Arabidopsis thaliana: one gene and its partner. The protein of the gene in region 2 interacts with the protein of the main gene of each other region in a pairwise test. Each region holds a gene or a part of one and is shown on either strand. Other genes may lie near its edges.

Evidence for each region.
Region 1: the proteins of AT5G55330 (region 2) and SERK2 interact in a protein complementation assay, tested with the Arabidopsis thaliana proteins (one large-scale study listed by BioGRID).

Annotation. Positions count from the first base shown.
Region 1 is NC_003070.9:12,456,770-12,463,405, reverse strand, and holds SERK2 (somatic embryogenesis receptor-like kinase 2), read right to left. Parts: upstream 4,843-6,636; 5' UTR 4,329-4,842; coding exon 4,232-4,328; intron 3,824-4,231; coding exon 3,691-3,823; intron 3,608-3,690; coding exon 3,536-3,607; intron 3,285-3,535; coding exon 3,141-3,284; intron 2,912-3,140; coding exon 2,840-2,911; intron 2,746-2,839; coding exon 2,674-2,745; intron 2,439-2,673; coding exon 2,326-2,438; intron 2,139-2,325; coding exon 2,007-2,138; intron 1,917-2,006; coding exon 1,575-1,916; intron 1,440-1,574; coding exon 1,045-1,439; intron 969-1,044; coding exon 654-968; 3' UTR 501-653; downstream 1-500. Other genes in the region: AT1G34220 (Regulator of Vps4 activity in the MVB pathway protein), read left to right, coding at 1-304; AT1G34200 (Glyceraldehyde-3-phosphate dehydrogenase-like family protein), read right to left, coding at 6,471-6,636. UniProt on the Arabidopsis thaliana protein: Serine/threonine-kinase involved in brassinosteroid-dependent and -independent signaling pathways. Acts redundantly with SERK1 as a control point for sporophytic development controlling male gametophyte production. Serves as coreceptor to small peptide (e.g.
Region 2 is NC_003076.8:22,436,964-22,440,546, forward strand, and holds AT5G55330 (MBOAT (membrane bound O-acyl transferase) family protein), read right to left. Parts: upstream 1,922-3,583; 5' UTR 1,903-1,921; coding exon 862-1,902; 3' UTR 508-861; downstream 1-507. Other genes in the region: AT5G55340 (MBOAT (membrane bound O-acyl transferase) family protein), read right to left, coding at 3,022-3,583. UniProt on the Arabidopsis thaliana protein: Catalyzes the final step in the synthesis of long-chain linear esters (waxes).

The DNA of each region.
Region 1 (6,636 bases), on a different chromosome or scaffold from region 2:
GAACTCATCAGGCAGCAACTATGACGATCTTACACCACATAGATTCCCGTCAATGGAGAAACCGCAGTTTGATCATCAGAACTCATCAGTCAGCAGCTATGGCGATCTGCCAGAGCTCCAAAGGCCAGAGACTTCACCACTTGACAGACTCAGCCCTGACCAGGACCATCAGCAAATGAGACTGCCTTCAATGGAAGATGATCCCTATTACTCATACCCTAATCTCTTCACATCGCAGAAGCATGATCCCTCATCTGGCTCTCATTCGTTCTCAGACAATACAAGACCCGCCCATGATTCGTGATTCTTACCTGCATATGTTATAATGCAAGCTTGGTGTTTTTCAGTGTGTTTCACTTGTGCTGTTCCTTCTCTTGCGGAACAAAGAGCTCAAAATGTTTTTTGGAATAGCCTTTTCTTCCTCTTTATCCAGTGGAAGACATATGTAATGTATAGAACTTGGTGTTTGTGATTATGTTTAATTTAAAGGCCTTGGTTTTCACAAGAAATGAATGAAGAATGCTGATAGATGGAATAAGATTTGATTAGAGACTACATTATTTTTCTACCAAAGAAATAAAGAATACAGAGAAGTGATTCTCTTAATATTTCTCTGTTCTTTCTCTTTTCTGTTAGGCAAATTACAATGTCGTTTATCTTGGACCAGACAACTCCATAGCATGAAGATTATCAGTCGAATCAAGGATCCAGTCAGAGGTGGGGTGAGAAGAGAGCTCCACTTCTTGCCTGAGAACTTCCACTTTCTGCCACTCGTCCCATTTCTCCGCTAAACCGTCACCTTCAAGCATTCGAACAACCTCAGACATCTTAGGTCGTTCCATAGGTGAGCTCTGTGTGCAGAGAAGAGCCACTTGTATGAGCTGTTCTACTTCTGCTTCTGTGTAATTGCTTTGCAGGTCAGGATCCACAAGCATCTCCAGCTTCTTCTCCTTCAAAAGCCCTTTCACCTGAGAAGACCAAATGAACAGATAAATCAGCTTTTTGAGAGATAGCCAGATATGTGCTAAAAGATCTGTGTTATACCCAATCTAGGAGCATAACGTCATCGTCATTCGCCAGTCTTGCAAGATCAAAAGCTCTCTGACCTGTAATCAGTTCCAAAAGCATGATCCCGTAGCCAAAAACATCAGTTTTCTCTGAAGATTTTCCAGTTGAGAGATACTCAGGAGCAATGTGTCCAATAGTCCCACGCACAGCCGTTGTGACATGAGTATCTTTATAGTCCATAAGTCTAGCTAACCCGAAATCACCTACCACCGCCTCAAATTCCTCGTCCAACAGAATATTAGCAGCTTTCACATCACGGTGAATAATTTTGGGGTCGCAATGATCATGAAGATAAGACAAACCCCTCGCTGATCCTAGCGCGATTTGCTGTCTTATTGACCAGGCTAGAGGCAACTGTGATGGTGGACGTTCTGTAATCATTTCAAGAAAGCTCACTCAATTGTATTGGAAAGTTTTAAAAATGGATAAGATCAAAAACAACACTTATACATCATTGTGGGAGTCTTTCTACTTTATGATACAAACAGTTAAAATTCCAAGGTTACCTCTCAAACAGGAAGCGACACTTCCATTAGCCATGTAAGGATAAACAAGCAATCTCTCGGTAGGGGTCATACAGAAACCGCGTAGCCTGAGGAGATTTCTGTGAACGGCCATGCTTATCATCTCCACTTCTGTCTGAAACTGGAGCTCGCCACCTGGGGTTCGCTCTTCTTTAAGCCGTTTGACTGCAACAAGTGTTCCATCAGCAAGACGGCCTTTGTAGACTTTTCCGAACCCACCTCGGCCCAAAATGTTCTTGTTGCTGAAGCTATCAGTTGCTACTTGAAGTTCCCGTAGAGAGAACCGCTTAAGCTGCCCCAAGTGAACCTCAGGGTCCTCTTCGGCTGCATCACAGAACTGAAAAATTAAGTACTAAATACTAATCCAATTCTGAAATGAAACAAAGCTTGGATATTGCAGACTCAGTGACTTACCAGGAACATCAAAGAAGAATTCTTGAGGTTTTCTTCTACGCCACCAAGCAAAAGCTAAAGCAGGGGCAGCAAATAGTAAAGCAGCACCAGCAGCAACTCCTCCCGCAATGGCTCCAGTAGCACTATACCCACCTTAAATTTTATTTTTACCAAAATAGTTAACTACCAGTGAAGTTGATCACAAGCTTCTTAAACTGTGAGATAGACTTTTTTCCAGTCAAAATCCAGTAAAAAACTCTATAACAACCATCCAATATGTTTTTCCAAGCATGAGTGAAGGTAAAAGATCTAAATTTTACTGTCTGCTTCATTTCATTACCTGGTGTAGGAACTATGGGAGGTGGTATAAAAGGTGGTGGAGGAGAAAACGGGGGAGATCCAGGACAAGGACGGCTAGTAACTGGGCCGCATAGATCCAAGTTGTTAGCAAAACTGTGCAGAAGAACAATGGTCAACTGCTGATAATTTCCATATCCACCAATTAAAGTAATAGAATTTGGAAAATGTAGTATGTCTATTGAGTAAATTTACTTAAGAGTTAAGATGATCAAAAGAAACTTAGGTTCAGACTTTAAATTTTATTGCCACTTGTGCTTAATCTTAACTTATAGCCTCAGTTCCCATAATGCGAGTAACTAATGTTTGCATAGTATGGATTCAATCAAACCTGATGGGAGTGAAGAGCGAGAAGGAACCATTATCAGGAACAGATCCGGATAATCGGTTGTTCGACAGATCCCTGCAGTTTGCAAGATAATAAGGAAAACTCAGGTGATCCATTAAGAGTGAGAAGTTCAGAAGAGCAGAAAGTAAAATTGAAAAGTAATACTCACAAAACTTGAAGGGTCATGATATTAGTCAATGACATGGGAATTGGTCCGGTGAGACTGTTATTGTTGAGCCGACTATCCTTGCAACAAAAACTCAGACCACATTACCATCTTCCCATACCAGAGTTCAATCAAACAAGTTTATTCAGTGTTTTGAAAGACAAAGCCAATTTCTTTTACTTCTATTCAAATGTCCAACAAGTAATAACATTTAGCCAAAAGAGAATTTAATCCTCAGTAAATTTCTAATATAGCAAAACATTTAGCCAGTGCATGATGAGAAGAGCAGACTAAGTGTTCTTACAGAAAGCGAAGCTTGAATAGCTTTCCTAGAGAATCTGGAATTGGACCAGTGAAGCTGTTCAAGTAAAGATCCAAGCTCACTAAGTTTGTCAGATTCCCAAGATCGCTTGGAACCGGCCCGGTTATGTTATTACTATAAAGCTCCCTGCCATTAAGAGTATCACACCCTCAGAAGAAAATTAACAATGTACAATGACAAATGGGTATTGAATAAGTCCTAATAAAATGAAAAAACAAGATTCAGTGTAATCGCCATATTCGCCTATATCATGTATGAGAAACTACAAGTCTCTAGAAATAAAGTAGTTATGCTACACATAGTCAATGCCATCAACTTTTCGTTTATCTACAGAGTAACGATTCATCTTCCATTTAGATATCAAAGCAAAAACTTACAAGTACTGCAAGTTCTTGAGCTGACCTAGCTGAGGAACCAACTGACCAGACAAGTCTGCATTCCCAAGATCGCTGAAGAAGCAACAACAAACAGAGATTAAATAAGCTAAACAAAGAACATTGGTCAGGTCAGGTATAAGCAGAGAGACACTCACACTCTTATAACACTGTTCTCGTTGTTACACGTTACGTGAAACCAAGTACACGGATTAACAAGCGTAGGATCCCAGCTTTGCAAGACATTATTTGGATCAACTAGATTAGCTCTCAAACTGTGCAGTGCATCACCTGTTAATATACCAAACAAAAGCCTAAGCCTTTCGCAAAGAGGAAATACTTACCAAACAAATCAAACATGAAACAACCAAACAGTTTGCATTGAATACTTCTTCAGTTCCTCATTCTTAATGTGTTTGCTAGTGACATAAATACAGTTTCTTTTACATGTCGTTATCAGAGAAATAGCATTGAATCAAACAGTAAATCAATTGTGATTTTTCTAAAGGAGCCTAACCATAGATTATGAACAAAATTCTCTATAGAAATTGAAGCTTTCAAACAGAATCAGATTCTTAAAAAGTCCTTTTTGAAGAACAGAGACAGTGCCAGATGGAAATTTCAATTCTCATGTACCAACTAAAACAGGCAAAAGTAGTCACATAAATAATAAAGAAAGATAAGAGAAGAGTAACAAACCTTCCATGTTAGAAGAGGCAAGCCATAACGAATTAAACAGAAGAAGCAGTGAGATTAAGCAGACAAAACCAAAAGCTTCAAACTTTTTTCTCCCCATTTACCAAAAAAAAGCAAATTTCTCCTCCCAGATCCTCCAAGAGGGTAAAAAAAAAAAAACTTGAGAAATCAAACACAAACCATGATCTCTCCAAAGTTGAGAGCTTTGAGATAGAGATAGAGAAAGAGAGAGAGAAGTTTACACTTGATGATGATTTTACTCTCATTAATGACAACCGAGAAAAATGCCAAAGGGGAAACACAAGTGGTAACAGCTACAAACAGAGAAGTGAAAAAGGTGTGAGATTTTTCAAAACTTTGCGTTGCTTTTTCAGAGCAAAAAAGGTTTTTGGGACTTTCTTTCTCATTCTTAATGAATGAGTTTTTGTGTTCTGTGGTTATCTTTCAACAGCCGTCTCTCTCTCTCTCTCTCTAAAAGCCTACTCTACTCACTAGTCACTACAAAAGTGATGGGCTCAAGTTTAGTCTCTCTCTCTCTTAAATTCTTAATGGAGCGTGATTGGTACCAGTGGAGAGAGAGAGGAAGAGAGAAACAACAAAACGCTACCTTTGAAATCTTAAGTACAATCACATTTTTTTTGTTTTAAATCTTTTCTTTCTTTGTCAACTTGTAAATTATTATCACAATTCACAACTTATGGAAAAGAGAAAATTAGATACACAACTTTTGTTTACAAAAAAGGAATAGAAACTTTATTTACAATTTCTTGGCAAAACTCCATGTTTATAGACAAAAAAGTAATTTTTGTTTATTTGTTTTGGTAGCTCATTATTTAATTTAATTTGCTTCTTTTAATTTTTAATCGAATAACTTACAAAAAAAATTCATACTGTGTTATTGTTCTTTACGGATATATATTATAACTAGATTTTAACCCGCAGTATACTGCGGAGACAAATTATTTTTTAAAATTAATATATATAAAAGTTTGCAAATTATATCTATCTATAAAACATTTTTATTTTATAGTTTACAATTGTTATTAAGTAAAGTTCTTCCAAACCCGTCTTGCCAAACCCGTTCCGTAAAAAAACCTGTAGTACACCGCTAATTTAAATAAATATTTTACGGGATTGCAATTGTATTTTAGTTTGTCAAACAAATTTTTGTTTTAAATAGTTGCCGAAATCTAGTTCAAATTTTGGAGAAATAAGATTTAGTGAATTGTAAAAAATGTATTTAGGTGCGTTTTGCTCATTTTAAGGGATTGCAATTGTATTTTAGTTTGTCAAACATTTTTTGTTTTAAATAGTTGCCAAAATCTAGTTTAAATTTTGGAGAAATCTGCGTGATATATAGGATTGAAATATATTTCGAATGTTTTTCGTTTGTTAATCAATTTATTACCAAAAAAAAAAACCCAATAATTAAAAGCCAATGGCAACCAATGTAAATAAGTATACATAAATGGCTGCAAAAATGTATATGTAGATAAGTTTTCAAAATTGTTAACTCACGTGAACACAACACATACCAATATTTGTCGAACAAATATTGACATGTGTGTTTTTTCTTCTTTAAAAATTCAAAAAACTAAAAAAAAACATAGTTACAAATACTAATTTATAATTCTACATCAAAATAATTTGAACTTTTATTTTTGGTCAATTATGTACTCATTCTCTGGATTCTTGTAAATAAACGTATAATCTAAACTTCTGAATCATAAACCATAGGAAAAAGGAAAACAAAAACAAAATTAATCCAAGGTGGCTGCTATATAAGAAAGGTGCAGAGATTGTGAATTCAACAAAACAGTAGCTAGTATTGTCGATGAACTTATATTGTCTTATGAGCAGAGATTTTTGTTTGGACACCTGAAGATGTCACATCGGAGAAAGAAGTCACATAATGCCAAAGTTTACCAGCCATAGTCACTACCTCTGCTATTAAAGCTGGAGGTATAGATTTACAAGCAAACCCCGGTGCCACATTAAACACAGCAAAACTCGTGAGTGACACTGCACCAAGTCTTTGAAGCTCTATGCAGTATATATCCCTAGAATTTCTTGGTGATGGATGAAATGTATTGATGAAATGCTTGCAGCCATGCGCCAAGGAGATCTTTAATTGACCTCTCCACCAACGGACGCCGAGAAGATATCATACATAAACCCCTAATTACTACATCTACTAAAAGCATCGACACAAACAAATCTGATCTAACTTCTGAGCTCTTTCTCACCGGCCGGAGAGAAACACCGGTTCAAGGTTATTATCAATCGACTCTTTCACAGCATCAACAAGCAACTGCGTATTCCGGCTAAACCTCATCCAAAACCCATCCGGTTTAGCTCCTCTGTTTTTGATTTCTCCAACCAACCGAGCAAATTCCATAACCATACAC
Region 2 (3,583 bases):
AAAATAAAAAGAAAGTGAGAAATTGTCAAAGAGTTTATGGTTCATGTTTAGTTGAGACTATCGGTGTAAGGTGGTAGTTCTCCGTATGGGAGAATTCACATGGTTCAACTTCAAGTCAAGTTTAACACTAGACCAGTATACCTAACTGTCCAAAAATATTAATCACCGATTTATTTCATCAAATTATTATAAAGTTATATTTTTAGTATAGACAAATATATGAGGAATTTTCATGAAATACCCCTTTTGAATCTTAGATGTACCAATTTTCGAAAAATACTATTATTCAAAAAGACTACTACTCTACCGGAATATTTTTAGTAAATTTGCCATATTTTTCAGGTTTCTTTATTTTTAGGATAGATGAAAAATGAAGTTTTGTCTTCAACACCTATTAATTTATTTGTAAGATAGTTTAGCGAAAACAAAACAACTTTGATAAATAAACATGTAAATTTTATTAAGGGGAAATTGGAAATAAAAGATAAATATTTAAAAAAATTTCCATCTATACATTTTATGATCAAGATTGGTGACATATGCGTTTAATATAATTTAAATCCCACTATATCTCCAGCTTTTTTATGCTTACAAAATACAAAACAAAAAGTCCAAACCAATTTATTTTTACTTGGAGCAAATCAATATTCTTTTACTTGGAGTCGTCGTTCATCACTTCTTCGATATTGTCTTCCTCTATTCTTCACAAAAATTAAGCTGTTCACTCCTCTCAAATAACTCCAAAACAAAACTCTTTTTTTTTCAATTTATCTTTCTTTATTTCCCTCGCTTCAATTTCTCTTAGAATCTTACCATCTCTTTCTTTAAATATTTATCCTTTGTTTCCAATTTTCCCATTTATTAAAGACTCGTAAACAACCCTAAGAGGATATATAACTTACGATTAAAGAAATCAATTAGAAACAAGTCTTCATTGATGAACCTCTCCATCAAGCCGTGCCTAATAGGCTGGGGGGAAAATAGCCAAACACCAGTCACAAACACAAACCCCACCGTAAGCAGTCTCGACACTGCCGGATTCACCGGCCACCGCTGCACCAACTTCGTCTTCCTCTTCAGTGCCACTTCAGCCGCCATGCAAAACCCATGTAACACAAAGAACCAAGTCACCTCCCATGTAGGCTTCTCACGTGTCAAATAGAAGTAGAGAATCTCGTGAGCCACACCAGAGACGAGGAACGTGGCGAAAATCGCGAAGAACCGATCCCACTCGGAGCTCTTGGCTCGCCATTGCCGTATGGGGTTGTACACTGCGAGCCAGAGAATCTTCGAGACCATGAGGTTCCATCGGTGACCCCAGAAGTCATGTAGAGAGGTGGCTAAGTATGGTTCGTTGAATTGTGGCTCGAGGTCACACCCAAGAGTGATACTGACGAGAAATTTTATCAAGGTTAAGGAAATCTCAAGCTCCAAGTATATATGCAGAGCATAGAGACCCAATAGAAAATTCGTAGATAGAAATTGTTTGTAATGATACGCTTGTAGTAACAAGGCACCAAAGATGAAAACTTTCAGGGCAAAAACCCATTTGGGGAAATGGTTAGTATTTTCAGGGTTAGGTTTTTTTTGAAGCTTGATGGGGAAGCAAGCAAAGCAGACGAAATGAGGGAGATTAGGAGGAAGTGGAAAAAGAGGACCTTTTTCTAATGCAAAGAGGATGAGTTTTGGAACTGCAAGACCTGAGAGGAAAAATGCAATAGTGAAAGAGGAATGAACAGTGGAGAAAAAGATAGGAATAATAAGAAACAAAACACAAACAGGAAGAACAGATAGTAATCGAAGAAGACTGGTTTTGATTTTGGGTGTTAAGTAGTAACAATAAGTTACTGAAATGATTGCAGAAACCCATACTTGGATGAATAACTTGAGTTCTTCCTCCATGGTTACTGGTTAAGTGATAATAAACCAAGAAACATAGGAAAAATGTTTACAGTTGTAGTATATAAGCGTGGGAGCAATTAATAAAGACAGTATGTTTGTTACACATTTAAGGGAAAAAACTATTGGCAGTTGTTGAGTAGTTAATGGCTCTGGAAAATCTATCAAATTAAGTACTTTCCTCTTTTATGATATAGTAATATAGTACTAGTAGTGTATGTAAAAATAAAAAAAAATAAGTATGACTACCGTTTATAGTTTTTCTTTTCAACGTCTTAAATATTGAATTTTTTTATGAAAAAGTTAGCAGAGCAGAGCATAATTAACACTCGTAAAAAACAGTGAAATAAAACTAAGGTTGTCGTTTCTCCTTAATGCGATTATGAAGCCATGCGGGACCTCCCGTTCTAAGTACGAGTTGAAACGCACCCATCTCTCGTAACACAACTACACAAGCAATATCAATATATCATAAAAATTCGTTTTCGCCTGGAACTAAAGAATTTGAATGATTCAAAACCTGCAATAAGTTGACGAATTCTACCGATGAGGGAGCAATGAAGCTTCTATTTCTTAAATAATTTGACAGCAGAGTAAACATTTTGACCTATGCTTGACGTTATATGGGAAATCCATATAGTTTTTTTCTTCCTCTCGCTAACGCTCTTTGGCGATCTTTCCTCCCAACTATGTTGTATTTAGATAATCTCTCTACAAAGGGTTCACGTGAACATGACACAAACAGTAGTCGAGGGAACAAAAATTGATCGATCGATAGGAAGTGTTGGTTTGGTTCCAAGTAACACTATTATTTCATTCTTTAGTTCCAAGTAAAAACAAATCGTCATGTACAACGAACTTGGAACTGAAGCAAGTCAGTTTTTTTAGGGTTTGATAAGAAAGAAAGAAACGGCATGAAGAGACCAAGAGACATGCTGGCAGCATCTTAAAGAGTTTCTACTAATTCCAACTTGCCGACATCTTCAACAAGACAAGTTCGATTCATTTCAAGATAAGTAGTTGACCATTATGGACTTTGATGCTCAACCGGACTCAATAACGTTAACTCGTGCTCATTTAACACTCGTTATAAAATATCCCCAACAACGTAAATAAAATAACTTATCGCTTAATGAACTCAACGAGCAACACAGCTTCAGATGTGAATCTCTCCATCACCCCGCTCCTTTTAAGCTGAGGTGTAAACAACCAACCACCAGTCACAAACACAAACCCCACCGTGAGAACCCGCGACACCCCCGGACTCAACCGCCACCGCTGTGCTACCGTCGTTTTCTTCTTCACCGCCAATTCTACAGCAGTACAAACGCCATGTAACACAAAGAACAGAGTAACTTCTCCTGTAGGCATCTCACGTATCAAATAGAAGAAGAGCAATTCGTGAACCAAACCGGAGACGATAAACGCTGCCAAAATCCCCGGAAACAGAGCCCAACCGGAACTCATTTTGCGTTCAGAGACTCGCCGCATTGGTGCGTAAACGGCTGGCCGGAGAATCGCCGGAACCATGAGATTCCACCGGCGACCCCAGAAGTCTTGTAGAGATGTGGCTAAGTACGGTTTATTGGACTGTGGCTCAAGATCGCAGCCAAGAGAGATAAAAACAACAACTTTAACAAACGTTAATATAATCTCAATCTCTAAGTAGAGATGCACAAAATAG